Linked DNA regions of Schizosaccharomyces pombe. Changing the gene in region 2 together with the main gene of any one other region gives a genetic interaction. Each region holds a gene or a part of one and is shown on either strand. Other genes may lie near its edges.

The links.
Region 1: mutations in rqt2 (region 2) and SPOM_SPBC1289.14 together harm fitness more than expected from each alone (negative genetic interaction), as found in Schizosaccharomyces pombe (one large-scale study listed by BioGRID).
Region 3: mutations in rqt2 (region 2) and SPOM_SPCC736.02 together harm fitness more than expected from each alone (negative genetic interaction), as found in Schizosaccharomyces pombe (one large-scale study listed by BioGRID).
Region 4: mutations in rqt2 (region 2) and vps3 together harm fitness less than expected from each alone (positive genetic interaction), as found in Schizosaccharomyces pombe (one large-scale study listed by BioGRID).

Annotation. Positions count from the first base shown.
Region 1 is NC_003423.3:4,410,573-4,417,007, forward strand, and holds SPOM_SPBC1289.14 (adducin), read left to right. Parts: upstream 1-1,668; 5' UTR 1,669-1,803; coding exon 1,804-2,778; 3' UTR 2,779-3,027; downstream 3,028-6,435. Other genes in the region: Tf2-11 (retrotransposable element/transposon Tf2-type), read left to right, coding at 4,085-6,435.
Region 2 is NC_003423.3:3,741,437-3,751,955, forward strand, and holds rqt2 (ATP-dependent RNA helicase), read right to left. Parts: upstream 8,574-10,519; 5' UTR 8,440-8,573; coding exon 2,632-8,439; 3' UTR 2,537-2,631; downstream 1-2,536. Other genes in the region: SPOM_SPBC13G1.15C (uncharacterized protein), read right to left, coding at 5-340; enp1 (bystin family U3 and U14 snoRNA associated protein), read left to right, coding at 990-1,916, 1,960-2,382; SNARE protein Ykt6, read left to right, coding at 8,733-8,836, 8,885-9,374; protein smp2, read right to left, coding at 10,036-10,224.
Region 3 is NC_003421.2:309,507-315,958, reverse strand, and holds SPOM_SPCC736.02 (uncharacterized protein), read right to left. Parts: upstream 2,777-6,452; coding exon 1,916-2,776; 3' UTR 1,733-1,915; downstream 1-1,732. Other genes in the region: msf1 (phenylalanyl-tRNA synthetase), read left to right, coding at 306-1,595; DNA recombination protein Dbl2, read right to left, coding at 3,273-5,420.
Region 4 is NC_003421.2:473,289-481,841, forward strand, and holds vps3 (GTPase regulator Vps3), read right to left. Parts: upstream 5,774-8,553; 5' UTR 5,701-5,773; coding exon 5,625-5,700; exon of another isoform or gene 5,577-5,624; coding exon 5,512-5,576; exon of another isoform or gene 5,458-5,511; coding exon 5,352-5,457; exon of another isoform or gene 5,300-5,351; coding exon 5,112-5,299; intron 5,056-5,111; coding exon 2,758-5,055; 3' UTR 2,495-2,757; downstream 1-2,494. Other genes in the region: histone H2A-H2B chaperone Nap1, read right to left, coding at 1,102-2,283; coy1 (CASP domain-containing family protein), read left to right, coding at 6,439-6,490, 6,548-6,658, 6,725-8,463. UniProt on the Schizosaccharomyces pombe protein: Required for sorting and processing of soluble vacuolar proteins.

The DNA.
Region 1 (6,435 bases), 670 kb from region 2:
CTTGGAATTTAAGTTTGCAGCTTCGAAGAAAGTCGTAACTATTTTCTAGAACTGATTTTTTATTTCATGATAACGTTAAAATTTGCCCAGCAATAACTGTATTTTTGTGTACTTTACCAATAGCAATTTAGATTTTAACTAGCAAATCAAAGAAATATGGAGTTGTTGTCCTTCTCCATGCTTAATATTGCAGCCATATTTATTCTTTACTAACTCATCACCTAGCGATGTTTCGATTCCGTGTCTTTAGCTAAAAAATTGTTATGGTATAAAGATTCACGGATCGGCCGTTAAAATTATTCAATTACTTAACCAATAGAAAGGCCCCAGATTCGATTGCTATACCACTACATATTCGTTTACAATAATACAATATTACGGTTGAAGTATTTTTAAACAGCCAATCATTTTTTTTATTTTCAAAGCAATTTTGTTTAAGAGAATAAGACAGAATATTATTTCATAGTAAAAGTATATAATTATATTCTAATATACCGATATTGTAATGACGATAAATTATTTTTTAAACTAATTTATGGCATGTTGATAAAGCCAATGAAGGGACTGAGTAAATTGTATACCTCAAGCAAAAATTCGCTAAGCAAACGACAACTTCATCATAACCTGATGTTGAGTATGTTGTTGACGAGTAATCCCTTGTTTAATTTTTGTAAAACAACCGGATATCGGAAATATAGCAAAGGGATGAGAGCGATGGTACAAAAGTTGAGGTGCCACATTGGAACAATATTTAGTCATTATCCGAAATTTGTTATCCGTTTTTTAATTCCGGATGACATCTAAATGAATTGGGAGTTAATAGCCACTGACACGTACACTATAGAGTTAGTACTTGATTAAAAAAAAGTAAGAGAAATAGAGCAATCCTCAACCTTGTTAACTTTTCTTATGAGGTGTTAGCATTAATTCTTGTGTTCAGTCTTGCGCTCATGTCCGTTACTTGTGTAAAAATGTACGATATGTCGTCCCATATTAGTAAATGCCATGAATTATCATCCATCACTGATACCAAAATAAACGGTGATGATGAATTCAACAAATTCAAAATATCGTTATACACTGGTACTCATAGCTATTCTGTTTCCCTAGTGGAACATGTTATTCTCTTTCCTTCTCATATCTCTCGTAATGTGACGTCAAATTATAATATTCGTGTAACGAAACCAATCAGCAACCAGCCTTTCAATCAACCAATCACATAATACCTATATGGTCGAAAAATATGATAATATTGCTTTAAAAGTCATAATAGTTTTGGATGAGCGAGTTCAACTTTCAAGCTAGTCATTCAATTTAACGTTTTAATATAATTTACCTAATTTTTTTTAAATATAGAGAATGAATTTATGAATGAGGGGCATATGGTTGAATTTGAGATTCTATATATCGCATTCGAGATTTAGTAATATTGTAGCATTTCATTCTAGATTAACATAATAAATCACACACTAGCATGCTCTTGACTACTCTCTTACGCGGCAACGTAGATAACGTACATCAAAAATTTTACATTCGAATGGTGTTTTATTACGATTAGTTTAATATTTCGGCAAAGCAATTTGAATTTCAGTAAATGTAAAGGATTCTAGGCACTTACTATGACGTTGAAAAATAATATAAATATAAGCTTGCTTTCATTAAAACAACATCGTTAGCGAATAAATTCTAATTCACTTTTTCCTTCATTTGAATTTTTATTCTACTACTTTAAAGGTCTTTCATTAACATAACGACTGGCTAGAACTGCATTTTAGATTGCTTACCTTATATCAAATTCCAATTATGCTTAGCAAAAAATTTACCCCTTTGTCTTTGAAAAATGCAGCAAAATGCATAAATAATAGTTTGCGTTCTACTTATGCAATTACTGGAGTAAACCTTACGAGAGGACTAGCCACAAATTCAAAAGTTGATCCTAAAACCTACGCTCCTAAACCGGAATTTAGCTCGATTGCCGTTCGTGAAATGCTCCGAAAGTCATGTCTGCATGAATTCACTGATGAAGAGGTTGCTACGCGTATTGAGTTAGCTGCGGCATATCGTCTTTTTGGTTTAGAACATTGGAATGAGAATATTCTAAATCATTTGACTGCCAAGGTTGAGGAACCTGATGGAACCGCTTCATTTCTGATTAATCCTTATGGTTTACGATATGGTGAAATTACCGCTAGTAGTCTTATTAAGGTTGATGAGGATGGAAACATCAAACATCCTGGTGTTACGGGTGATGTTTTTGGCATCAATCGTGCTGGCTATGTTATACATAGTGCGATACACAGGGCTCGTCCAGATGTGAAGAGCATTATGCACAATCACTATCCATATGCTGCTGGCGTTTCATGTGTTAAACATGGTTTCCTTGAGCTTGCTCAAACTTCACACCAATCTGGTCCTGTCACATATCACGATTATCATGGAATTGTAGTTGACAAAGGCGAACAAAAGAGTTTGGCTGAAGACATAGCAAACAAGGATATTTTGATACTTCGTAATCATGGAATTATTACTGCTGCCGAGTCTGTAGGTGCAGCTTACTATTTAATGTATCAATTTTTGGCCGCCACGGAAATCCAAACGCATGCATCAGCAAATGCTTTGGGAGACATGAACAATCTTTTCATTCCTAATAACAAACTTGTTGAAAAAACTTTTGATGTTACCAGAGAGAAGCATTTCTCGGGTGCTAAATATGGAATTAAGGAACTTTCTGCCTATATGAGGTTACTTGATGATCTTGATAGTTCATACAGAACTTAAGATGATGTATTATTTAATTTCGTCTTTTATCAGAATTTATCACAATAAGATTTATTTGACGAGCGTAAATCCACTGAAAACTGAAGTTGAGAGCTTGTTCTACTTGACTTAATCAGTCATTAAATTTATTAATATTCTAAATCGCATTCTTTTATTATTTTTATTCACAGAAATATGAATACATGAAAAAGGAATTTTTTTTAATTTATATAATCCGACAATGCAAAAGCTAACGAAATTACACCTTAGGACTCATATTGTATCACTTGCTTCTTACCGTATTAAATATGCAACTGCAATCATTTTGCAGCCAATGTAAATGACTTTATCGTAAAACATGCATTCTGCATGAAATATCCTTGACAAAAGTTAGTAAAAATTTTATTATACATTATTCACAAATGTTTTTTACCAATAAACTTCTAAGTTACTAGTCAGAATTAATCCTGATGTTTTACTCAAATTTACTTCGTTTTCGACACTCAAAAACAATTAGAAGTTAATAAAAACTTTAACAAGGCAAGTATTCGTTGCAACTCCTAACGACAGCAATACCATGGTTTCTTAATGTCACTATACGCTACTTGTTCAGTTTATTTAGAGTACATACAGTGCGACATTTGTACCGACATATGTTACTAATCATATAGCAATTATATCGATAGCACTATGATTAGACCAATTCTAACCCTTCAATTCATTTGTGGTTAGTTCTACCTAAACCCTTCACACGAAGAATATCTTCAATGCCTGCTGTTCATTCCACCTACATACCGCAGTACAATATTAATAAAATTATCACAGAAGCGTATATTTAAAAGGTGATTTTAAACTGCGTAGCTGTCAGCAATACTGCACTACGTTGCGTATCACTATATGTCACATGTTCAACATCATATCGTAGATATCCGTTGATAACAAGTATTTAGAAATATTATAAATAGCGTTACAACTGAACCTCGTTCCTCAGTTCAGTTATGAGCTATATTATTGATAGGTAACATTATAACCCAGTTAATACAATACCTATACTCAGTTGCTTCTCATACAACCTGTGTATTGTAATATAATAGATCACAAGGAAAACTCACCACAGTTCTACGTATCCTTAAATCAGATACCAAACTGCGTAGCTTACAATAACTGAACTCTTGTGATCTACAATTAACTCTTTTTAAGAAAAAGGAATTATTGAATAAATATATATCATAAATATATATATTTCTCTCCTTCTGGGTTCAAAGGAGAAAGAACTTTGGAAAGACTGTTATCCCTTTTGAAATCTCCCAAAAGGGAAACATATACAATGTCCTACGCAAATTATCGTTATATGAAAGCAAGAGCAAAACGATGGAGACCAGAGAATTTGGATGGAATTCAAACATCAGACGAACATTTAATAAACCTTTTTGCAAAAATATTATCGAAGCATGTACCAGAGATAGGGAAATTCGATCCTAATAAGGATGTTGAAAGTTACATTTCAAAACTTGATCAACACTTTACTGAATACCCTTCATTATTCCCAAATGAGCATACTAAAAGACAGTATACATTGAATCACCTAGAAGAATTAGAGCAACAATTCGCTGAACGCATGTTTTCTGAGAATGGAAGTCTTACATGGCAAGAATTACTCAGACAACCAGGGAAAGTACAAGGATCCAACAAAGGTGATCGTTTAACTAAAACATTTGAAGGTTTTAGAAATCAATTGGACAAAGTTCAATTTATAAGGAAACTCATGTCAAAGGCAAATGTTGATGATTTCCATACTCGCTTGTTTATATTATGGATGCTGCCATATTCCTTAAGGAAATTAAAGGAAAGAAATTACTGGAAATCGGAAATCAGTGAAATTTATGACTTTTTAGAGGACAAAAGAACAGCCTCGTATGGTAAAACTCACAAGCGTTTTCAACCGCAAAATAAAAATCTAGGAAAAGAGTTCCTTCCAAAGAAAAATAACACCACTAATAGCAGAAACCTGAGGAAGACAAATATTTCGAGAATAGAATACTCATCTAACAAATTCCTAAATCATACTAGGAAACGTTACGAAATGGTATTACAAGCTGAACTTCCAGACTTCAAGTGCTCAATACCCTGTCTAATCGATACGGGCACTCAAGCAAATATTATAACAGAAGAAACTGTTCGAGCACATAAACTGCCTACCAGACCCTGGTCAAAAAGTGTGATATATGGTGGAGTTTATCCAAATAAGATTAATCGCAAAACAATAAAACTTAACATAAGTCTAAATGGAATATCAATCAAAACAGAATTCTTGGTTGTAAAGAAATTTTCGCATCCAGCTGCTATCTCCTTCACAACATTATATGACAATAACATTGAAATATCTAGCAGTAAACACACGCTCTCTCAAATGAACAAAGTTTCAAATATTGTCAAGGAACCTGAGTTACCAGATATCTATAAAGAATTCAAAGACATTACTGCAGAAACCAATACGGAAAAGCTACCAAAGCCAATAAAAGGGTTAGAATTTGAAGTTGAACTAACTCAAGAAAACTACAGATTACCTATCAGAAATTACCCGCTACCACCGGGAAAAATGCAAGCTATGAATGATGAAATTAATCAAGGATTAAAAAGTGGAATTATACGAGAATCTAAAGCCATTAACGCCTGTCCAGTAATGTTCGTTCCGAAAAAGGAAGGCACCTTGAGAATGGTGGTTGACTACAAACCTTTAAATAAGTATGTCAAACCCAATATATATCCGTTACCACTTATTGAACAATTACTTGCTAAAATACAAGGTTCTACAATTTTTACTAAACTTGACCTCAAAAGTGCCTATCACTTGATACGAGTAAGAAAAGGAGATGAACATAAACTTGCTTTTCGCTGTCCTCGTGGAGTTTTTGAATATCTAGTAATGCCTTATGGCATATCTATAGCTCCAGCACATTTTCAATACTTTATCAATACAATACTTGGTGAAGTCAAAGAATCGCATGTAGTATGTTATATGGATAATATTTTAATTCATTCAAAATCGGAATCTGAACATGTAAAACATGTTAAAGACGTTCTACAGAAATTAAAAAATGCGAACTTAATTATCAATCAAGCAAAATGTGAATTTCATCAATCACAAGTAAAATTTATAGGGTATCACATTTCGGAAAAAGGATTTACGCCTTGTCAAGAAAATATAGACAAAGTCTTACAATGGAAGCAACCTAAGAATCGTAAAGAATTACGACAATTTCTAGGTTCTGTCAATTATCTTAGGAAATTCATTCCAAAGACATCACAATTAACACATCCACTCAATAATCTTTTGAAAAAGGATGTACGCTGGAAATGGACACCAACACAAACCCAAGCGATAGAAAACATTAAACAATGTTTAGTTTCTCCTCCGGTGCTACGACACTTTGATTTCAGTAAAAAGATTCTACTAGAAACTGATGCTTCAGATGTCGCTGTAGGAGCCGTATTGTCTCAAAAACATGATGATGATAAATACTATCCTGTTGGATACTATTCAGCAAAGATGTCTAAAGCACAATTAAATTATAGCGTATCGGACAAAGAAATGCTTGCAATCATTAAGTCTCTCAAACATTGGAGACACTATTTAGAATCCACTATCGAACCTTTCAAAATTTTAACAGACCATCG
Region 2 (10,519 bases):
TTCTTTACGTTTCGGTAAGTTTTTTTACGAACTCAATAAACGCGTTGCAAAAAGGTAAACAATAAAGGCGATTTGGAAGAACTGAGACTTTATCAGACCAACTTTGAATTATTGTAAGAATCCTAAAAGTTTTATAATGCAGATAATATTTACTGAAAATGAGGGAGCATAGTGAAGCACAACACTCAACTATTCGTCTGTAAAGTGTGATCACTACAATTAGTAGCCTTCTGATACTAATGTAGACCTTAAAAGTAATTTCGGAAAGTTTATACTTATTAGCTTCTAACAGATTTCGATTTAATACAAACTGAGCACAAAAGATACAGCATGAAGCCATTACTCTCAAGCTGAAGAAATATGTCCTTTATTTTCCAAGATTCAGTCTGCGTAAATCTAAAAAATTGAGTTCTTAATATCAGATTATACGCTTTAATTTAATATATATTTATATATATAATAAAAGCTGTCAACTATGCGATTACTAGGAAAAATAGCGAACAAAAAGTAGCTTGAGTTCCCATGATCTTTGAAAACTTAGAGATTTGCTGATGTGTTAAACATACTGTCAAACTTTGATAATATGGCAATCATTCAATAGCTCACAACTGAAATGCGGAATGTTGGTTAAGATGTAATTTATTTTCATTTATTCAATTAGTATTATCAACTTTAATGAAGACCATTATATCATCCCACAGTCCTATTCTTTAATATTTAAAGAGCTATATTGAACAGTAATAGCTAACATAACATAGTATAGCATAAAAAACTGCATATGGAAGATACTTCCCATGGAGTTCAGTAGTTACAAAAGGTGAAAGGCTAAATAGCGTGCTATTTTGTGAGGCGCTAGGTAAAACGAAATGCACGGTTTTACGTGGGATTTAAAGTACGCTAATTAGGTAAGTTTTATAATTGCAATTTGTACCTACAAAAAACCAAAGTGTTTGGAGCGGCGGAATTAAAAAGAAAATATATTATTGATAATGCCCAAGGCTCCAAAAACTAAACTGCATCATGCTCCTCTTTATAAGGACATTGCAGAATCTTCAGAAAGTGGTGTCTTGAGACAGAAACCTAGCAAACAGAAAAAGTCGAAAGAAAGCAACACCGGAAACGGCTTCTTGGATGCCAAGACTTCTAAAAAAATTTTACAATTAGCAAGGGAACAAAAAGAGGAGTTGGATGAAGAAGAAAATGGAAAACCTTCACAGATCAGTGCTTTTATTAGTAATGGACATCAAAAAGACACTTTAGAAAATCCGGCAATTGAATCAAGCTATGAAGAATCAGAGCATGCTAGAAATGTATCCGATAGTGAAAGCATTACTTCTCAAGAAGAAGAAGAGTATGAGGAGCTTGAGATAGATGATGCTGACCGAGATTTATTCGATCGATTCCTCCCAACCGTGTCAGGCGAGGAAGGAGATCTAACAGAGGAAAAAACCACCTCACTATCCGATTTGATCATGCAAAAAATCAACGAGGCTGAAGCTCGCGCTCGTGGTGAATATATCCCTTCTGCAGAAGAGGAGGAAAATGCCTTACCTCCCTTGCCTCCCAAGGTAATAGAGGTCTATTCAAAGGTTGGGGTTTTACTTAGTAAATACCGCTCAGGAAAAATTCCTAAAGCTTTCAAAATTATCCCTACGTTGTCTAATTGGGAAGACATACTTTATCTCACTCGACCTGACATGTGGACACCTCATGCTTGTTATGAAGCTACTCGTATTTTTATTTCCAACTTAAAACCTGTACAAGCTCAACACTTCCTCACAGTCATTATTTTGGAAAGAGTTCGTGATGACATTCGTGAAAATAAAAAATTAAATTACCATTTATATATGGCTTTGAAAAAGGCATTATACAAACCGTCTTCTTGGTTTAAGGGTTTCTTGTTTCCTCTAGTTCAAGTATGTTCATCGATTTCTTTACTTAATTATTAACCTCTTATAGGAGAATTGCACTTTGCGCGAAGCCGCAATCATCGGTAGTATCCTTCAAAAAGTTTCTGTGCCGGTTCTGCATTCTGCAGCCGCGTTATTACGTTTAACTGAGTTTGACTTGAGTGGTGCTACTTCCGTATTTATTAGGATATTACTCGACAAAAAATATGCTCTACCGTATAAGGTGCTTGATTCTTTGGTTTTTTATTTTATGCGATGGAAATCATTGGAACGTCCACTTGCTGTATTAGAACATCAATCGATGTTGGTCTTTGCTCAACGGTACAAATTTGATATTACACCCGAACAAAAGGATGCACTCTTAGAAGTTGTTCGCCTGAAAGGACATTATTCTATTGGTCCAGAAATTAGACGTGAGCTGCTTAACAGTGCTAGTCGTGGTGAAGAAATTCCTGTGGAAATGGAATATTAATTGAATGGTTTTGGTTTTCTTGGGTTCACTTGGCATTTGTTTCTTTTGTAAAAAAAATTGAATAAAAAGACTTCGGATTAGCCGCTGTTTTTCAATGTTGGGAATATTTTTACTTAAATTGTGGGTTTTATGTTCACCAATTAATAGGATTATTGAGGTCTATAGATTTGTTAATTAATTTTTATTAAACAGACTTAAATATAATAAGGAAATTGGCTTAAAGCCTTCTATTTTTCTACAAAAGCTTCATTAAATCATCAATACAATTTTATGTTCGTAAATTAATGGGTATCCATCACAAACAACCATGACTTTTACATTTCTGTTGCGGCAAGTTGGTGGAATATCCATTGAAATCCGAAGGGATAAACGAATTGAATCATCGTTTCTTCGCCCAGCAAATGAGGCCCGACGTATCGCGAACAGTTCTTGAGTTTCTGAATCTATGATGAGAACGAAAAATCCCTCACTTTGAGGTTTAGGGAACAACGGCGCAAAAATGTAAAAATCGGGGTTGAGCGGCTGATTGAGGCGTCGTAGATAAAGGAGTAGCTTATCTGAAGACGATTGAGAAACTTCAATGTTCATTTTAGGATACGAAATTAAACTATTGACCAGACTTTCTATATCAAAAACGTTAGGGTCATTACATAGCATTTGATATAACTCATCAGTTTTATTTCCTGCAAATTTGTTGAGATAATCTCTTGCTTCCTTTTCACTAGACGCATTAAGTCCAGGTAATGAAGCTCTGTAAATCTCACTCGGATAGCAAGCCTGTTTAAGACACTGCATTAGAGATATGTACTGTAAACAGACATGGGAGTAGCCTAGCTCAGCGGACACATCAATATAAGACTGTATAATACGAATAACCTGATCTAAAACCGTGCTAGTATCAGTAACATAATCATCCACTGGAAGTTTCAATCTTGCCATGTGAGCTTGAGTTAATATAAATGCCTTAACATGAGCATCGACCATAGGAAGGTTTAGGCAAGCAGCCGAATATTTCAGAGATTTATTAATCTCTATGTTTATCAAATCTTCGTTGTGACGAATAGCGAGATCGTCAAACTCAGATGCTTCAGCAAGCAATTGCAACGCAAGATCGAACTCAGCGTTCTCAGTTATTTTTTGAACGAAGTTTCTGATGGTGGTATGAAAAAGATAATAGTAACTAACTATACGACCCAAAGTTGTAGGTGCATAGGTTTCTTCGTTGACACGATATATGCAAGCTGACTTTTCAAGTTCATTAAATGCAGTCACAACAAGTTTCGATAAATAAGTATCTATACTCTTTTGGTCATCTCCATCAGCACCGTAATAAACGGGATTTTGATGAACTCTTCGATAGAAGTAAGTGCACGTTAAAAAATCCATTGCACCCTGTATGCAATCTATAGTGCCCGTAGCAATCTCGGCATTTAAATGGTTATCCAATACTTTATGTAAATAAGACTCTACTGGAAATCCACTATGTAGAAAGTGCTTATAAAACGACTTCTTAATATCCTGTACAAATATACGTGCCACACCAGAATTGTCAAATTGTGGTCGTCCTGCACGCCCTAACATTTGAAGCACATCCGTCAAATCCATGTCTTTATAGCCTCCAATTTTAGCATCGTAATACTCTGTTCCTTTCACAATTACCAAATGTGCCGGCGTATTTACACCCCATGCAAGAGTGCTGGTGGCGATGAGAATCTGAACTTTATTATTTACAAAAAGCTCTTCGGAAATTTTTCTATCATTTTCAGTCAAACCAGCATGGTGAAGTGCTATACCAAATGGTAAAGCCAACTTGAGGCTTTTATCTTCAACTTCTGAAACAATCATTTCTAATTCTTCTTCATCCATGTACAAAAATCTCCTAGGATTGTCTTCTAAACCACAAAAAGCTATCAAATCTTTTGCAGTTAATCTAGTTTGACGGCGCGACGAAACAAAAATTAAAACAGGTTGGGTAGGAGAGTGCGTTTTGATGGCTTGAAAAGCAGGCTTATTCATCGACATCATCCTTGGGCAATAGGCTCTACCAGGGAATCCATCGATATATATTTCTAAAGGAACTGGGCGCACGGAATGCCTAAAATTAAATAGACCATCTCTTATGTTAAGCCAATTTGCAAGATCGTTAGCGTTAGCAACAGCAGTAGATAAACCAAGAACTCTAACTTTCTTATTAGTTTGAGAAGCAACATAATTCATTCGGGAGACAATCATTTCAAGGACAGGACCTCGATCGCTACCTAATAAATGGATTTCGTCAAGGATAATTAATGAGACATCCTGAACATACTTCCTAGATTTCCAACTTCTAGTAATACCATCCCATTTTTCCGGTGTTGTAATTATGATATTTGCATTCGTAACAGCCTTAACATCCGGGTTAGTATCACCAGTTAATTCAATCATACTAATCCCCATTGGTTCAACTAACCTGTGTCCCCAGTCCTTTACTCTTTCCTTGACTAAAGCTTTCATTGGAGCAATATAAACTACTTTCGACTTAGGATAATTGTGAAGAGCTCTCCAAGTAGCTAATTCTGCGGCCATAGTTTTACCAGATCCAGTAGGTGCACCAACGAAAATATTTGTATCGGTGTGATAAATAGTGTGAAAAAATTGAGTTTGGACTGCATTAAAAAACGAGAATCTTTTAGCGCATATACCTTCTAGCACTGGATCGTGCAAAGCCGTAATTGGTAAAGGTTGAAGATCCAATAATTCTGTAATGGGATTGGAATCGTCATGAAAAACAACATTAGAAAGAGAAACCGGGGTAACTGTTTCAGCGCCTAGCCATTTATCTGATACTGCAATAATGTATAGTTGTGAGGGTAATGGATTAGACACAGGTATGGTAAAGGATAGTAAATGAGAAGTGCTAACGTTCCGTTTATTTAGGAGCAACTGTTCATGATGAAGAATCTCAAGACCGTTACTATCTTCAACAAATATCCAAAACATTTGACTGTTTCCATGATATCTCATGTCCCAATTAAAATTGGGAGTGATATTTAATACAAGTCGCAAAACGTTTTTCGTTAAAGGTAGCAAATCAACATTAATGTTTAAAAGAGGTAATTTGGAAATAAATTTTTTAACTGTAGGGCCCATTTTTCGGTTATGAATAAGATCACCAAGTTCTCCTGTAGACATGTCCGACAATTCTTCTAATGATAAAGACCCACACTGATTTTCCACTTTGACTGCAAGGTCATGTGGAAGATCAAACTGAAGTAAGGGGTGTTCAAAAGACCACTGCCTCCTATCAATTGACTTGTTTAAGCTAAGGATAGTAAATGCCGAGGCCCAAGTCCTTGACATTGCAATTTCGAAAAGAGCCCTAGTTATTCGACCCGCGTTTTGTGCAACATAATTTGTATCTGATGTTAGGGTAAAATCTTCTACATGCGCACGAGAAATGTATGACTGCAGAATAACGTTAACTTTTCCTGATGTATTCGAAATACTATCCCTCAACTGACAAGGACTACTGTTTTCCATTAGTGATTCAAGCTCACGATGCTCATTTTCTCTCGATTTGATTTGGGAAAACTCGCTGCATTGGCTCAAAAGAGCTATAATGTCTGCTTCCGACATTTTGCTTTTCAATAAATTATTTAATGTTGAGACAGTTTGATAATTGATATAGTAATTGGACGCGATTCTACCTAAATCTTTAGGAATCAGGTATCCGTTTTTCTTATTGTAAACGATCATTTGATTATCTGCCAGCCTTCCTGCCGCTACAGATACCAATTCTCTTCGCTTGCTGCCTAGTAAAGGATCCTCAACAAGTTCGTCATAAGCAATACCGTATACAAGTGGATTACGTCTCATCCTGATATAAAGATAAGTATAACCTAACCACGATACAGCTTCGTCAATATTAGTTACCGTTCCTAAAGAAACTTCAGCGTTTAAGTTGTCAACCAATCTATCGGTGAAACGAGATTCAATAGGGCTTTGTTGTGTTACAACGGAGATGTAATGAGAAAGTTTATCATGTGTCGTAATTATGTACGCGACTGCCGAACTTTCAAACTGAGGACGACCAGCACGACCGAATATTTGTAAAACGTCCAACACGCCAAGATCTACAAAAGAACCCTTTTGTGGATCATAAAGCTGAGTTCCTTTAATTAATACAGCATAAGCCGGTAAATTAACACCCCATGCTAGGGTAGCAGTACAGCATAAAATTTTAAGAATACCCATAGAAAACAAACGTTCAGTAAGATGTCGGTCCGATCGTAACATGCCAGCGTTGTGAATCCCCATACTGTATTTGAAAAGTTCTTTTAACTCTTTGTTTTTTGACTTTGAAACATCTCTTTGAGCTAGACTATATTTTTCATGTTGTGAGTTGTCCAACAAATCAGCCTCTCCCTCATGGAAAAATTGTTCCCTCAACTTCTTAGCTGAATTAATGGTTTCCTTCCTAGAATGTACAAATATCATTACCTGATGGCCTTCCTGAATCAGTTTCAAAACTTTATCAAAACAAGCTTCATCAATATTTGAGTTTACTATTTTAGGAGAACCTTTAGCACCGATGAAATGCTGTTCAATAGGGCATGGACGAAATGCAGATGAAAAATAAAACAATCCCTTGTACCTATTGACGCCTAAAAAATCAGCTACATCAAGGTAGTTTGGAAGTGTGGCAGAAAGACCAACAATTCTAATCATCTGTTGACTTGTTTCTACCAGCCTTTGTGTCCTAGCGACAAGTGATTCAATAACAGCACCACGTTCATCATGAAGCATATGTACTTCATCAATGATAACCAAACGTACTTTCTCGGCTAACTGAGTGTCGCCGACGCTTTTTCTAGTAACTACGTCCCATTTTTCAGGTGTTGTAACAAGTATCTGAGTTTCTGCTATTTCCGTTTTGGTTAGTTGCATATCACCAGTAAGTTCTCTAGTTTTCAATCCCAACCAAGCGAGACGTTTTCCCATTTTCTCTACAACCTCAGCAGCCAATGCCTTCATAGGAGCAATGTAGACAATCTTAAAATCATCTCTATGAACATCTAGAGGTTCCGATTCATCCATAAGATTCATACTTTCTACATAGTTGGAGATTGTTTGCAACATTGCGAGCAGAGCAACATCAGTTTTTCCTGCACCTGTAGGTGCACAAATTAACATATTCTCGTTTGTCTTGTAGGCGATAGGATAGACAAGCGATTGGATTCTGTTCAAAGTTTGGTAGCTAAGGAATGTTTTTCGACAAAGAATATCCATCGAAGAAATTTCTAACAACTTTTCCCCTTGCATTTGTGGAGCACGCTGAGCATGAGGAACAATAATCTCTTCATATTTCTGGTAATCTTCTCTTTCACTACCAGCCGGTAATGCAAACTTTTTCCCAATGACGCTAATAGTATTACCAAGCCTTTTATCCCCATACACATGAGGATATTTTTCCACTTCAAAAACTTGCTGTCCAGTAAATAAAGGACCTCTGTTATCACGAGACCGACTAAATCTTCTCGGCCTACTTTTTAAACTGTCTAATAATCCCTGACCATGCGTAGCAGAAGAACCAGCTTCAGAGGTATAGCCATCAGAAAGTTGCGCAGCAATTGAAGTATCATTTTGATTCATGTATTCTTCTATTAAATTGGACGAATTAGCGACGATATCTGAAATCAAGTCAATATGATCAAGTCCAACAAGATTCAGTAAATCTTCTTGAATGGCACATTGATCTTCAGTCGCTTTTAGGCTCATAATGACTGCTTCAAATAGTACTGAAGCATCAAGTTCAGTACTTGAAGATTGAGAAATTTCATTGCAGCAATTTTGCAGCCAAGTTAAATCTTTAAGAGCAAATTCATTATTGTCGGAGTCAGTAACGTCCTCGGGATTGATTAAATTATAATTTGTTTTCAAAATTTCGTCAACTTTTAACGATAAAGCACCTAGCTCAGCATTCGAATCACTCAGCGAAAAGCTATATGGAGTATCACAAAAACTAGCAGGACCTAGCTTTTCTAAGTGATTCACTACATAATTTAACTCAACTTCCATGAAAACTGTAAAAGGATAGATCGTTGAAATTAAAACCTCCTTAAACAGAAAAAATTTGAATTTTTATTGCTTTTATAGGATTGTATCCAATATACTACCCAATTTAGCACTGCTAGTAGTGTAGGGGATGGTTTGTAAACAAATGGCCACTACCTATTATTTGTGTAATAGAAAAATACCGTAGTCGAAGGTATTATGTGTGTACATACGATTGCAAGAAGTATGGCGTTTTCAACCAAAGCAGAAACAAACTTAACCCACACCATTAACTTGATTTACAGCATATTTACAGAATGAAGCTGTATTCTGTCTCTATACTCCGCTTTGACCCAAAACCAGTGCAATTATTATGCACTGCCTCAGACTTATCTAGTTTCTCATTTTTTCAACGATCATCGTATGTGCAAGATTTAATTGAAGAGTAGTTTGTTAACAAATATTTCAGCATCGGAGAGTTCATGAATTTTTTTACAAAGACTGTTGCAGAACGTACTAATCCAGGGCAAAGACAAGACGTTGAACAGTCCAATTACGTTTTTCATGTGTACAACCGATCGGATGGGTTGTGCGGTGTGATTGCTAGTGACAAGGAATACCCTTTACGTGTTGCTTATACTCTTCTAAATAAGATTCTAGACGAATTTTTGACAAAAAATCCTCGCACCAAATGGGAATCTGGTGCTGTTACCCTATCCTTTCCAGAATTGGATACCTATCTATCAAAATATCAAGACCCCAAGCAGGCTGATACGATTATGCGAGTGCAACAAGAATTGGATGAAACTAAAGATGTACTTCATAAAACAATCGAGAGTGTCTTAGCTAGAGGAGAGAAGTTGGACGACTTGATCCAACGTAGTGATAACTTATCTACACAGTCTCGAATGTTTTATAAATCTGCTAAAAAGCAAAATTCTTGCTGTATAATAGCTTAATTATTTTATAAATTCATTTGTTTGGTTTTCCTTTCTTCCCAATGCCCAAATTATATCATATTTTTTCAAGTTGGTATTCTTGCATTTTGTTTGCTGCAATTATCGATTGAATATCAAAACCTTGTTAATTTTTCTGCGCCTGTTCCTAGAGTCCATGAAATTGTTCTTCTATCATTATCTTTAATCTGATCTTTTCATGACACGTTGTTTGCATTCCGGATTGCTTTTATGTTATAGAGTAGATTACTTGTTGAAAAAGTCTAGCATGTTTCAATGAGCATACACACTCTTCGTTGATGCTCATAGCATGAATGGTTCACTTTATAAACTTGTAAAGGAGATTTTTTTAAAGATTGTAAAATTATTGAGTTTGTTGGAGCGAGAAAACTATCGGGCTTTTTTCGTTACAGATTTTTCTATAGTTTAGATTTATCTTCTAGTATATATCAAGTTACACAAACTCAATTGTTGTTGGCAAGCAAAATGGTTTGGTAGTAATTTTCATTATTCGTTAATGCTATTATGCATTTCTTTGATAAAATAGTTCAAGAAAGGTAGTGGTTTGGTACCCTTCGTTTATTGAAGTAAAAGTTTGAAGGGTTGAGGAGTATGTGCAAGCACGCCATCAATATGCTGCAGATGCAGCTGCATCTATATTTTATTACCTTCCCGGTATAGGTTGCTTCTTCTTATAATAAAGCGATTTGCATGATCGAAAGCCCTCCTTCGAGCTAGGTATTATGGTGATTAATTCTCCATCCAGTGTATAGTAGTTTCCTTGATAGAGTTTTGCTTTTTCTTGGAATTGCTTTGCATCCTCTACAAAATGATTTTCCTTATTGTGCTGCATGTGAATGTGTGCAAGAAAATTGGTGTAATGGATTAGTAAACAAACACATTACAATCCACTTCATATTGCCTTGCGGCTAACCAAGTGATTCGGTGTATTTAATCACCGAGTTTTTTTTTGTTTATGCGAGGCAATTTTTGATTTTATTAAGCATATAGGTAGAATTTCATATTCAATTATTTATCTCGATACAAAATACATGGTTGAAGAGCGGTGTCCTTTGCATCAACGTTTAATATAAAAAAATAAAAATTGTATTGCTCTTGAGCTTATCCTTGAGAAGTTGAGTAATTAA
Region 3 (6,452 bases), on a different chromosome or scaffold from region 2:
ATATATTTTTTTTATGCAAAAACAATGAATGAAATATTTGTAAACTGACCAAATCTATAAACCACTGCTTGAAAATTAAACGATTCGAATTTTACTCCTTTGTTCATTGTATCCAAGAACGGCACAACCCCTATATTTGGGTACTATCATTTTTTTACTTTCAAATGGGACGCAATTAAGACCGATTGATTGAATTCTATTAAATTATTATTATATATTAATTTTAAAAATAGTTAGCTTCGTTGTTCTAATTTAAATTATCATTGTTTGATTACAAAAAGTGAAGTGTGTTATTTAAGAAATCAATGTTCCCTCATCGAGTCTCTCATTTATCGAAACTATTTTCGAGAAGGTTTCCCAATTGGAAAAGAAAAGTCCAAACAGATTCTTGGTCCAATGTCCCAGAGCATATTCACTCAAAAATTGGTCGAAACCTTTTTCAAAAAGAAGGTCATCCCATATGCAGTCTACGACAACTTCTCGAACAGCAATTTCAAAAATTCGAAATGAATAATGTTCAAAAAGAATCACCTATTGTTTCTGTAGAGACGAATTTTGATTCTTTAGGATTTCCCAAGACACATGTAAGTAGAAGCAAATCCGATACTTACTATATGAACAATAAAACTTGTCTTCGAACCCATACCTCGGCTCATCAACCTGAAGAGTTCTCTCGCTTGGCCAAAGAAGGATTTAAGAAAAATGGTTTCTTAATAACCGCAGATGTATACCGTCGCGATGAAGTGGATTCTAGTCATTATCCAATTTTTCATCAAATGGAAGGTGCATTGGTGTGGAACAGAAATGATACTGCAAAAATGAAAAATGATCTAAAAAAAGTAGCTCTTTCTCCATCTCTTAAGTCAATGGTGGATGATGAAACTACTGCATTAGAAACTCATAATGACATGCAAGATATTTATTCACTTGAAGAGACAAAATTTGTTTCCCAACATTTAAAGGATACTCTGACCACCGTGATTCATGACCTGGTATCACTTGCTCCTTCTATTTCTTCCGGAGCTGAACAGGTTCGGTATCGTTGGACGTACGACAGTTTCCCCTTTACCAAGCCCTCGTTTCAGTTAGAAATTGACTGGAAAGGAAAATGGCTTGAAATATTAGGATGTGGGGTCGTCCAGGATAGGCTGCTTAAAGGTGCAGGATTAAATAACTACATTGGTTGGGCTTTTGGAATTGGTCTTGAACGTCTCGCAATGATTTTGTACGGTATTCCTGATATTCGGCTTTTTTGGTCACTGGATGAACGATTCTCGAAGCAATTCTTGCCTAACAAGATTAGCACTTTTAAGCCTTTTAGTAAATACCCAGCATGTTTCAAAGACATTGCATTTTGGATCAATAATGATTTTAATCCAAATGATTTTTATGAGATCATACGGGATGTCTGTCAAGATATGGTAGAATCTGTTAACTTGATTGATCAGTATACTGCCAAATCTGGAAAAACGAGCTTGTGCTACCGAGTCAATTACAGAAGTATGGAAAGATCCCTTAGAAACGAAGAAATTGACAAGCTACAGGAAAAGCTTAGGAACCGAGTAGCTAATTCTTTGAGAGTCGAGCTCAGATGAATGTGCGTACATACTAATTTTAAAATATGTAAAAAGCTTAATAACATGCACACATGCGTAAAATAATTCCATGTTATTCCCTCTCAAAATTGAAATGTTATCTCGTATGTTTTTGACTAAACGAAAGAAATAACAATTTTGGTTTTTAAAAAGTTATTTTATTGAATCTATTTGAAAAAAGGAAACAACGCATATAAAAAGGAACGTGAAGATGAATATTAAATACCTCGAATACAAAATTTATTTTATAGAACGAGATGCAAATGATATGATGAATAAGATATAAAAGCTAGAGCAATTTTGATTACAAACTTAAGCATTTAAAAAAGCTTCAAAAGGTTAGGTAATTGAGGAATTGCACCTTTTTCAATCAAGTAGTACATGATCTCTGTAACATTTTTTGAAATTGCTATATCCACAAGTCTCGTTAGGTAAGAGTCAATAAAAGATTTAGAAAATCTTTTTTCAATTATATTGTTCCAAAACCCAAAAACTATATCCAAAAGTTCCACCGAATTTTGCTCCATTGTGTACTCGAACCAGGTGAGGAAACAAAACTCAACTTCATCATCAGGTATAGAAATAAGTCGTTCAGTAACAATTTTACCTACTTGACGAATAACTGGTATGTTCCGTTGTTTTAATGCTAGCAGAAAACCATTTCTAAGAGAAGAAGCTTTAAACAAAAAGTTGCGATGTTCCAGCTCTGCAATGAAATCTTCTGCATTGGGTAAGAAAAGAATACGTTTTGGTATAAAACCTTCGTGTCCTGCATGTATAACTCGACCATCTTTTATATCTTCATTAGGGCTTTTTTTAACAAACCCCGAAATGACTAATTCGTCAATTTTTGTAAGGATTTGAAGTGTAAAATACCTGCGTAGCAATCCACGTTGAATAGAGAGAATGATGCTTTTGGGTACCATTGAAAGAGTAAAATCAATAGGCATGAAGATAGGCGTATTATTCCTTAAAGATAATCGGTGTCTCAAACTACGAGAAGTCACTGCCAAATTCGAATTATTGGATAACAAAAATATTAATCTTAAAACTTCTAAAGGTAAAGACTCAAAAACCGTTAACGCTCTAGCTTTTCCATCAGTCAAATTATTTTTGACCTTTCTTTTCGTAATTTTTTCATTATAGTCATTTTTTATGGTCTGTTTTCGCTTTTTACCCATCTTTAACAAGATTTTTGGAGCTCACCAACAGACACTATTTAGTGCTGAAAAATTTAAACATGTATAGAAAATAAATGACTACAAAAGATAATTTAACTTAAAATATTTACAACATTTTCATAATAACCCAAATAGTTGGTTTTTTAAAAGAAAAGAATAAATCTGATACTTATTTGCTCAAAGGTTCAAAGAAGAAACTCAAGGTTTTGAAAAAGCAATGTATGTGCTACTAAAAAATGAAAATCAAAACCTAGAATTGTACTAACAACACCAAAAACAAGCTGAAATCTAATGTTTAAAAAAAAAAAATTAATTATATGTAAAAGAGCTAAATAAGTATAGCTAAAACCTAAATGAACTATGGAAAAATAAATGTTGATAATAATACATGAAGGAAACCAGAAATCAAAATTCAGTACTGTTTTTTGAATTAAAAATTATATGTAACAAAGTCGGCTTGAGAGAGAAGTTTCAACGTACGAAAGAAAAATTAATTTCAAATAAAGTCACCATCTTCGTCCGAATCGAGATCGCGTCCTTGTGTAGTCATGGCATGCTTAAATTTTAGCATTTTTAACTTTGCCCTTTTGATCTTGCTACTCGTTGAAGCAAGTGTTACTGTATTTACAAATGGCAAATCCGTAATGTTTGACGAAAAAGGCTCAATAGGTAACGAACAAGACTCTTGAAAAGTTGGTAAAATAGGAGATTTCTTTCCCGCTTTAGAAAAAATATCCGGAATTTTGGTAAGTATTTTCGGAGGCTTTTGGTTTTTGCTGGGTGAGAGATTTACAGCTCGAACAGTAGGCGAGGATGAAATGGTATCCGAAGGAGAAGAGTCCGTTTCAATAGCATTAGGAACATTTCCTTTTTTCTTTTGGACTTGGTCCGAAGAAGAAACAGTAAACGAAGGGACATTAAAAGGGCTAGAAAATACCGACACATTTCTGGATTTCGAGTTTTTAGGCAACGACGAATGTTCCCCTGAAGATATTATAGAAGTAGCTCCAAAACCGTCTTTTCTTTTCGAACCATTTGCATATTTAGGATATATCAACAAGCCTGTTCTCAGCGATACACCTGAATGTTTGGCCAAGGAAGGATGTTTGGCATGTTCAAGCACAGTAGAAGGTGAAACGTTAGGATTGACTGCATTGTTGGATTGTAGAAAGATTGAAGAAGAAGCACTAGATCCATTAAGTTCGTTTGAGCGAAGGGACGTGCCTAAGTGAGAGTGACTCCTACCAAACGAGGACGAAGATGCTGGTTTAACTAAAGGAGATGAAAAAGACGGTACACGAAACTTCACGGGTTGAAAGGCTTTTTTGTTGGGCAAAGCCAAAGGTGTTAAAAGAGATGACGAATCTAGCGAAGGAATGTGTTCATCCTCTTCTGATGCTGCATCTAGAAAATCAGGAGAGTTTGGTATTTCATTATCAGTTGTTTCTGTTACATTTTGAAGCGATGCCAGCTCGGCAGCAGTTTTGACACTTCTTTCGTACAAGTTTTTTGAGGGGTCGGTAACTGTGATATTAATAAAGTTTTGTCGTTTCCCCGTGGGTTTCCGAAGCAGAGGTAACGGAAGGCGAGTCAAACGGAGACGTTTAGAAGTAGGACTGGGTTCTGCAACAGAAGAATCTTGTCTTTGATGATCATCATTTAGCCCATCGTTTTTGTTGGAAGGTATGGTATTACAAGCGCGGGAAGAATGAGGAGATCGAGCATGATTATTAGAAACTTCTTCATTTCCATTTTCTAATGCCTTCACGGAGACACTTACGTTATCATTACTTAGGTTTTGTAACAAATGACCAGCATTTGAATTATTTAGAGTGGTAAAATCATCTGCCTCGAGATCGGCAGAAGGGGAAGAAAAAAAGTCAGAAGCTATGTCGTCTTCTCCAAATTCTTCTACAGGATCTTCAACCAAGGTGCCATTAAAAGACTTGGGTTTTGACAAAACAGGGATATATGCAATTTTCGAAGGTTTCGGTAGCGCAGTTACGGATGAGTTAGATGGGGGATAGGGAGAGGTATTGTTAGCTCGATTAGATTCCTCAACAGAAGAAGCTAGATATGAGTTTGGTCTAAACTTAGCTTTGGGTTGTATTTCCGGTGTTACTGACAGTTGATGCTTACTTGAACATCTCAAACTACCAATATCTGAGTCATCTACTCCATAAGATTGCAAATTTGCGTTCCGGAAGATCGTGGATTTTGTTGAATTTGTATGATGAGCGTGTGTTTTTAACATATTTGACGATAAAGCACCATTTGAATTGTTAGATACATCTGAGTTAGCGGAGTGAAATGGAGGCTGGAATGGTTTTAATAAATAAGCTGGCCTCTTCCCTGTCTCACTCAATTTTGATTTCCTCGGTATAGGTGGAATATTCGCTTCAGTAGTTGTTTGTAAATTCTCAACGTAAACAATAGTTCTATTAAATTCAATTTCAGAATCCAGAACAATTCTCTTGTTGTTAAGGAAAAAATCATCTACGACTCGGTTATCAGAATCGTAGAGAATTCCACGATTATTGAAGCTGTGGAAGCGCATTGTCCCATCTTTCCAAACTTTTACTTTTTTTGCTTTATCAGACGTCCACAATACTTGATAATGAAAAACATTGGAACTTGTATCCATAGAATATAAGTTTTAAAGCCTGTAAAGGCAGTTCCGAAAGGTGGCTTACGAAAAGCTTAATATTGTTGAAAAAAACTCACAAACCACCCTATTTAATAATTAATTAAAGAATAAGAGTGAGAATATCTATTTCATGTATAAACCTCATTTGAGCATTAATTGCTCTCGCTTTAGGAATGGGAATTACGTGCTTTTGTTGGATGGTAGTTAGGAAATGGTTGGTATACAGCAGAAAGTTGAAATCTAGGAAAGTAAATGATCTCAAGCCAGAAAATTACATCTTTGTAGAATCCTTAAACAAGGTTTCCTTTTCTTTTCTTTTTCTTTATGAACTACAAACGAGTTGAGCTTTTGGTTATTGATATGAGGTACTTGTTTACACGCCGAAATGATTGAAGGTAACTTTATAATACGCAAGCAGAAGCAGATTATCTCTTGAGATGGTTTCAAGAGAGATGCTTATTTTTATTAATTTTACTAATCTACAAGGTCTAATATTTGATGGGTTTTTCTTTAGTAAAAGGTCTCTTAGTGCCCAAGGAAGCAAAACTGTTAGATAATTTTCAATATCCTGTATCGAGAAACGGAAACAATGGTTAATAATCCCGATTGATAGTTTCATAGGGACAGACTGTGTGTATACATAATGATATATAAAAAAAGATGTCTTTTTTCACCTTAAACCATGAAGTTTACAGTTGAGCTTACAGAGGCAGATTGCTTCAAATATTCGTAATGTAAAATTATTTATCTTGTAAATTTGTATCTATCGTCGCATTATAATAGAGAATCTAAACATAGCAGTTGGAGATAAAACTGATTCTTTTGTTCTTCTATCGCTTTTGAGGTTTGCAGGCAAGAAAATTCATCAAAGATGATTGATGATACGATTAGGTGCAAAAGTACTTATGTTATAATTTTAGCAACATAAAAGGCCTATAGAGGGTAATTCTGCTCGAAATCTTGAACTTGCAATTCTCATCACCATGTCGAAGATAGGTACAAATTAAGTTATTAAAGTTGGTTTAAGCG
Region 4 (8,553 bases), on a different chromosome or scaffold from region 2:
AAATTATAAAAGCTATAATATATTTAAGGCAAGTATTAAAATTAAAATATTAGATGTTGTAAGAGATATGTCAAATATGCTTTAAATTTAGACTAAGATAAATTGTAGTATGCAATCCTCCATCCCAATTGTAATCATCTCCATTATTTGATGATTCTAACTTTAAAAAACAAAACTGGTATCTGTTAAACGCTAGACGAACTTACTATAACAACCGAACACTCTTTTACAATGCGCTCCGCATTTTTTTAGTTTCCTTCTTACTCCAAGAATTGCAAGCTTCTTTATGTCTAAAAAAACGAAAAAAAAACAAATCGTATTTTTGATAAACTTTGACACTCATTTCTTTCGAAATAGCCTTTTATGTAAACACATCGGGTTTAGTTATACCTTCCCAACTTCTTGGGTAGAGTAGACTAACTAGGATGCAACCCATTCATACTATGAATTCTCAATTGCTTACTTCTAAGTCAAAACAAAGCATTATTTTCTAGAAAAGCTCGTAAAAAGGGTTCTCTTTTTTAAGCTTTACTAAAGGTCAATTTTTACAGTCAGTGTTTTCAACTTGGTCTAAACTAACAATAAAAAACTATCACTAGTTCTTTTCGCAAGCATTTGATTGAAAAAAAAGGCAAGAAAATATTAAAACGTCCAAGTTTGTCCGAGCGTTTTCATCATGATTGATCAAATATAAGCATTCCAAAATCTTTAAAGGCTTTCGTACTCAAACTAGAAACTCGGAAAATTCGCCAAGAACGATCACACCTCCCATTATGTAGACGATGTCGTTTAGGTCTTTTAAAGCCATTCATCTCAAAACCACCAATTCCAGTAAAAAATAAAACACGTCGACTGTAAGCATTTTTATTTGATAAACGAAAAAAACTCGATAAATTGGAAGATATTTAAAAACTTTATAAACTTGCAGAATCTCGTCCGCAAGCACTCACATGTGGTCCGAACCTATCCTGTACAACAAAAGGTTTACAAATGTTGCATGAAAACCTCAAGAATCATACTTTTCAAGTATCTTTCCTTTAGTCAAAACACAGAAAACCCATTGTTATTAACCCCATAATATATGCACATTATCGAAATTGTTTATTGCTGACGGCACTCAGCAGCGTTTTGCTGGCCATGAGCAGTGTGCTTGCTATCACTGTCCTCCTCATCGGAATCGGAAACTTCTTCGTTAGAAGAGGATTCAACATCATCTTCATCCTCTTCAACATCTAAGTCGCTGAATCCGTCATAGTTTTCAAGAGCTAAAGCCTCACCAGTAAACCACTCAACGGCACGAGGAATGAGTTTCTCTTTGAAGTCCTCACCGATTTGATAGTCAAGTTCCAACAATTCATCCAATTCAGGGCTCTCCGATTCTTCGTCTTCCTCAGATGGAGGAGTTGGGGGATTAAAAAAGTTGAAGAAACTGTCACGAGGAACGGAAACCTTTACGACACGAGTTTGTTTAGTGTTTTTATTGCGTTGCTTTTTAGTAACGGTACGAACAGTCAAATCGGCATTTTCTTTCCAATCAACCTTATCGCCCTCAGCATGATCATACAAGAAAACGTTGGACGGGCCAGATTCCTCCATGTAATAATAAGTTTTGGTGAGAATCTTGTTAGTAAAGAATGGGTTTTCAGCAAATTCAAATTCTAATTTGAAACCAGGCTTTTCCATATAGGAAATGCGAATATCCACAAGGTGACTTAAAGCTCCTTCATCTTCGGGAGTAATCATTTCAGACAAAGACAAAACATTCTTCATAGCGGTCAACCAGAACTCAGGAATACCCTTAGTATCATCACCACCTTCTTGTTTCTTAGACTCAGAAGAAGTAGGTTCTTTCTTTTCGTTCTCATCGGCAGCTTCACCCTTCTTAATTTCCTCCTCGGTAGGTTCGTCAGCGCCACGAACAACCTCAGATCTTCTCTTAAAAATAGGTGCGTACTTCTTTGCATAAGCTTTTTCCAACTCAAACAGCTCTTTTTGGAATTGAGACTCCAAGTCGCTGTATCGCTTTTGCAAACCACGAAGTCCAGAAATCCTTCTTTGCACGGCTTCAGGCAATTCTGAAACTCCTTCTGAAGTGAGATGTAATAAAGAACCCAATTTTCCGTCGATAGCCTCTAAATTCTCATCTCCTTCGTCAATAGTATTTACTTGAGGAGCCTTCGCACCAAAGTTGGGAGCGCTCGTCCCCGATGGGGTGTTATGGGGAGTTGGGGCGGCAGACATTTTTCCGGCCCTTTTGTTATTAATATTAACGTTCTCTACCATATTAATTCTACTTGTTCCAGCAATCAATTATGCTTCAGACGCTTTCCGTACGTCCTTTTAATAACACTGGGAAGGGTAGTGGTAGAAGCTAAGTGTAAGAATATTTGCTGCACCCTGGGAATCTACCTACCCGCGGAACTTCCGAGCTCATCCTCGGGGTTTCCGACCTTAGTGAACAGTGCATCGTTGTGTTACGGACACTTTCTTTATTCCCGAAGGGGGTTTTTAAAAATAAAATTCGATGAATTTAGGCTCATAGTTAATATTATTTATATTTTTAAGACTAGTAAAGATCAGGAAGAGCTGAATTAACTGTAGAAGAAAGCCCTTTATATTCTAACAACATTTTGAAGCTAGAATCTTTTTGTCTCATTGAAATTATTCTATCATTAAATTAAACATCAGTCGAATAAGTATCGAAAATTGAGGTAAAAACTTTGCTGAACCAAAGGTTACTTTTTAAATGTTACTGGGTTAAATTTCGTTTTTGCCCAAGGCTACATTACGACGATTAATAGCCATGAACAACTCTTCCAAATTTTGAGACAACGACTTCTCAAGTGTTAAACGAGTTTGGGATTCATTCAAACGCTCAGCATTTCTTTTTTGCAATATACACAAAAAATCTGCTAATAAGTTAAGATTCCAATGATCTGGAATTTGCTCGCACACGTAGGAAAGCGTATAAGAAAAGGGTCGACGATACAATAGTTCTTTAATAAAATCACTACATCCATCTCCTGTTGATATACATTTTTCGAGCAAATTGCACCAACACTGAGGATAAACATCATCAATTTGAAGACAGTATGCTTCACCGCCCTTATAGTCATGAATATTCGTAACCAAAACGGATAAAGCTTTTTCATAATTCTTCTTCCTTTTGTAAAACGAGTGTTCAAGTTGAGGAAATAGATATAAATTGTCAACATGAATGTCGAACAAAATATCTTTTATTTTATCTATAGATTCTTCTTCAACATTTTCCATCAGATTAATAGAACACAAATAGTAAAATGAAAGATGAGTACTGAAATCACTCATGTCCCCCCAAAGTTGTTCCAAGTATTGGGCATACGTAGGTTTCTCCATGCAAGGAAGCTCCCTAAATGTTTCAATGGCAGTCTCAAGGCGATTTTTAAAATCGTTATGATCCAATAAACTGCCAAGCAACTTATTAACGCACAACTTTAAAAGTAGCGCTCGATGAGTGACGGAATTCGACTTTACAAGGTAATCAATCAAAACATCATCTTGAGAAGAATCCAAATGCTCTAACACGTCCTCTGCAGAAATGGATCCACTAACTGTTTTGTCAAGCAAAACGCGCGTACCCTCCGTTGCATCGTGTTTACAAAGCCATGTAGTAAATTCCCAGAATGTCGAAGGCTCAATATCATTAACCAAATATTCTCGTATTTTAATTAACCCATCGTTGAATCTCCGATCTTCATAATCCCCTGTTATTAATTTCTTCCAAGTTTGAAGAACACCATCGTGATCCCTTACAGTAGCCAATAACACGGAGAGTAAATAATACTCTTTCTTCTGTATCAACACATCTTTTATATCTTCAACACCAGTTAGACCAGACTCTAACAACTCCTTAGCATTTTTGGTACCGGCGGCTAAATCATCCATATTTAAATAAAGGAGTAATAACGAATGCTCTACAGCAAGCATCACGTCTCTTTGCGAAGATAAAAGATACTCAGATATGCTCGTGTTCTTTTTGTAATTTTTCAGATAACGCATCAACATGATGTATGCGTTTTCCTTAGTAATTTCAATCATTTGTCTCTGAGTGTATTGATCAGTATCACGAAACAATTCATTAGATTTTAAAACATTAGCAACAGTATCATCGACGGACAATATGCTTTTGCGAAAACTAATGACACCTTGAAAAGCAATATAGGAAAGCTCCGAATGATAGAGATCTGGATAGAGGGAGATAACTACGCGAGGATCAATTTTGGAAGTTTCAAGCAAAGAGAGAGAATTTTCATACTGTCCTTGCTTCCAATACTGTAATGCCGAGATTTGCTCCAAATAAGCAGATTGAAGATAAGCGACATCATTGGTTATTCCATACTTCTTCGGATTCCGCAATCGCTTACTCACTCGACGCAGAGGGGCTTCAATATCGCCTATGGTAATACTGAATTCTAGTTTGTTCATAAAATGAGCTTCAGCGCCAAACCCCCAAGATTTATTCGTAAGAAAAATAAATGAAGGCTTGCTAAAAGAAGCCCTTTCTATCGTATCAGAAGTTTTTGAGGTAGACGCAGTATTCACAGCAGAGAATTTACTAAATATTTGGCGATCACAAAAATGAACGCTTGTCAATCGAGAAATAAAAGAGAAACTTTCATCATCCTTCAGATTAATACTTTTAACAAGACTGAGAGTATTTATGTCGATGATCTGTAACGAACTAGAAGAAATGGCGAACACATAATGAGATGTAGAAAAAACATGTTTTGGATAAAATGAAAAAGTTAGAGTGCTTCTTGTGACATTCCCTTGGGAATCTACAAAAAGCCCTATGGCATCTTTGGGACTACCGGTAATCAAGAGAAATTCATTAGAATGCAAAACAATCATGGGTTTGTACATTAGCCCATTATTTTCCGAATCGTATTTGATAATGGGAAAGAGGGGAGTAGTATCAAAGGTGAGAATATCCAATAATTCAAAGGAATTTTCGGTAACTAGACAAACGATATGACCATTCACACGAGCAGTTTGAATATTGGGGTATTTAAGTTCCTTGTTTATTGTTAATTAGCGCTTTTATGAAGTAAACAATTTAGCATCTAACATACATTTTTGACTAGTATGATTCCATCTTTTTGAAATGAGATGAGCTTTAAATGAGTATTGGTCACAATTAAATATGTGCTTTTCTCGTCAATACGTTGGCCTGGATGACAGAATTCCACCAAGCCTTTAAAGGAGATGGAAGGGTAAAGCTGAGTCAAATCATCTTCCTTGTATACTTCTGCGAAACTACCTACCACCGTTAATTGGTATTCCAAAGTTATCGTAAACCACACATAGCTTACCATGATGAATAAAAACTGCGCCAAGAAAAGGCATTGCAAGAATTCGGTTTACACGAGATTTCGACACCAACGAAATCTTCTTTACAAGCTCTGGTGATTCATTTAACTAATACGCGTGTTAATGCAAACAACCCTGTGCAACACACGAATAAACACAAACCTGGAAATTTGAAAAATTATAGAGGAATACATCACCACCTTCCGTTCCAAAGTATAGATGGTTATCTAAAAAAATCAAATAGTTAGCAATATAGCCCCGGATGCTTGCCTTACTATAGAGCGCAATGGTAGTTACAGGGGAATCCAATTCTTTAGGAATTGCTGACTCATGCAGCTCAATATCAGACATTTGTAAATTTTGAATTAATGAAAAGATTCATTAAACAATTATATTCATGAAAAAGCCCTTTGTAAGTGTATCTGTTGCGTTAATATGGTTACTTTCAATATGAGTAGATCTGGGTAGCGTGTAACCCATAGTAAACGAAATGTTATGATATAGAAAGAAAGTAAATTTAGAATTTCTGCTAATTTAAATAAAAATTAGATTCTATTACAAAACTAACTATTCAAATACGTGGAATCCTTATAGGAGATTCTCTTCCAATCTTAATCCATAGTAATTCTAAGTTAACTTGCAAGCATCCTGGGAGTTATAGCAATTTGAGATAGCCTCACAGAGTGAAATAGCAGGAACTATAATAATTGCACACAGAAGTGATTGTATGTTTGTTGACTGACTTAATTTCAAGTCTCTTCGAAAATTAATTGACTGAATAATTTGATAGCTGATCTAAAAAGATTGGCCTTTTGTCAATAGGCTTTGCATTATTCCCAAAATACAAGGCTACAAAAGCAAAATCAATACAATATACAATCACTTTTCCAATCGAATTAAGCGCCTAATACATATTACTCATTTCCATAAAAACAAATTCTTATAGCGAAGTGTTTAATGGAACGTTGTGTAACTCCCAATTCACTATTTCAGCACGCTGACATCGCGCTATTTCATTGAAATGCTAAGCACAAAACAAATACTAAACATTAGTCATTTTAGTGTTTCGTTTTAATAACTTGCAACATAATGGCAGTTGCTTCAGAAGCTTTACTCCAAAAGCTAACGGAGTCATGGAAAAGTTCGTGGTGTTTTGAATTTTTAAGCAAATAGCAAAGTTACTAACGTGAGATAATAGATTCGCGGTTTGAGGAATTACAACGGGAAGCAGATGAAGCTGCAGCAGAAATTGAGAAGATGCAAAAGACATCTTTGGATGAAAGGAAAGAGCTTTCGTCAAAAACGAAGGGTATGGTGTCTATTATTGCAGCATACCTAGTATACATTAACCCTTGCTAATATTGTTAATATACAGAATTTCGCAAGCAGCCTGATGAAGTCAAGCTAGGCGAAATGAAGGGCCTTTTAAAGCTTTATCAGTCTGGAATCGATTCTTTGACCAAACGAGCAAAGTCCGCTGAAGCAACATTCTTTCGAGTGTATGAAACACTAGGCGAGGTTCCTGATCCCTACCCTTTGCTGATTGAGGCTGCGAACAACCTTAAAACTCAAAAACAGATTGAAGATTTAAAAAAGGAAAAGGAAGAAATGGAAGGCTCGCTACAGGGTAAGGAAAAGCTGGAACGTGAAGTGGAAAATTTACGAAAAGAGCTTGACAAATACAAGGACCTTGTAGAGACTGAAGCGGAAAAGCGTGCCGCAATCACAAAAGAAGAATGCGAAAAGTCTTGGCTTGAGCAACAAAAGCTATATAAAGACATGGAACAGGAAAATGCTAGTACGATTCAAAAATTAACTTCAAAAATTCGGGAATTACAAGCATCACAACTAGATCATGATTTACAGGCCAGTCAGAATGAATCAGCAGGGTTGGACGTTAATGCCAAATCTGCCGAAGTGAATGCTATTCTTTCTGAATTGGATGATGCTAACAAAATCATTGTCGAATTGCAAGCAGAAATTGCTGTGCTCAAGCAAAACACCAAAGAGCAAAAGAGCGGGTCGTCACAGGATGACCTGAGTAACCAGCAGAAACAACAATTGGATTTTATGGATTCTCTTAATAAAAAATTGTCTACTGAATTGGAATCAATAAAGGAAGCATCAAGAAAAGAAATGGAAACACATTGTGCCACCATTCAAACGCTGGAAAATGAAGTTAAAGAGGCCCGCAAAGTTAAAGAAGAAAGCTTAACATTGGCCAATAAATTTTCGGATTACGACGAGATTAAACGAGAACTATCTGTTTTAAAACAAATTGAATTTAGTGGAGAACATGCGACTCATGAAAACACTTCTCTAGAGTCTCAATTACTCAAGCGCGAAAAGCAACTATCTGAGGAGTTGGCCAAGCTACGCTCCACAAATGCCCAGTTAACTGATAGAATTACTCAAGAGTCGAAGAAGGCTTCATTTTTGGAACAAAAAGCTTCTGAACAAGAGGAGGTAATTCGAAAACTAGAGAAAGACCTTGCCGATGTTGATGTTGAGGGAAGTGTTTACTTGTCCAACACCACCTATCGCCGTGAAGGAACTAGCGGTCAACTTTCTCCAACATCGTCAATCATGGGTGGCAATCCTAGTTTATTTAACGGAAGCGTGTTGTCAAGGAATTCAGTTAACGAAACTGGTTCTGCCATTGTTGACGTTATCAAACAGCAAAGAGATCGGTTCAGACGTGCGAATGTAACTTTAGTAAACCAAGTGAGTGCTGCAAATGACAAGATTGCATTATTGGAGAGTAAATTGGAGGAGGTGGAAAAGAGCAACACCCTTCTTTATGAACAAATGCGTTTTCGCGACCATTATCAGAAGCATGTTGAGCCTAGCTCTTCTCACCTCCAAACTGCCGCAGCCTACGAAAACAGCATTTCACCGTTTGCCTCGTTTCGTAAAAAAGAGGCTGAAAGAGCTTATTCGAGAATGGGTTCTTTTGAGCGAATAGTGTATGCTTTATTACGCACCTTGTTATTCAGCAGAGCAACTAGGGGGTTATTTTTCATGTATCTAATACTTTTGCATCTTTTCATTATGATTGTTCTTTTAAAATTGGGAATCGCTGGCAATACCGCATATACTCCTATGAATTATTGACGAAATTAAAAGTCACTGAACGAGAGTGGAGCTAGTACCTACTAATAAGCACTTCAAATATTGCCTTAGATGGAAAGTATGCTGTCTCAG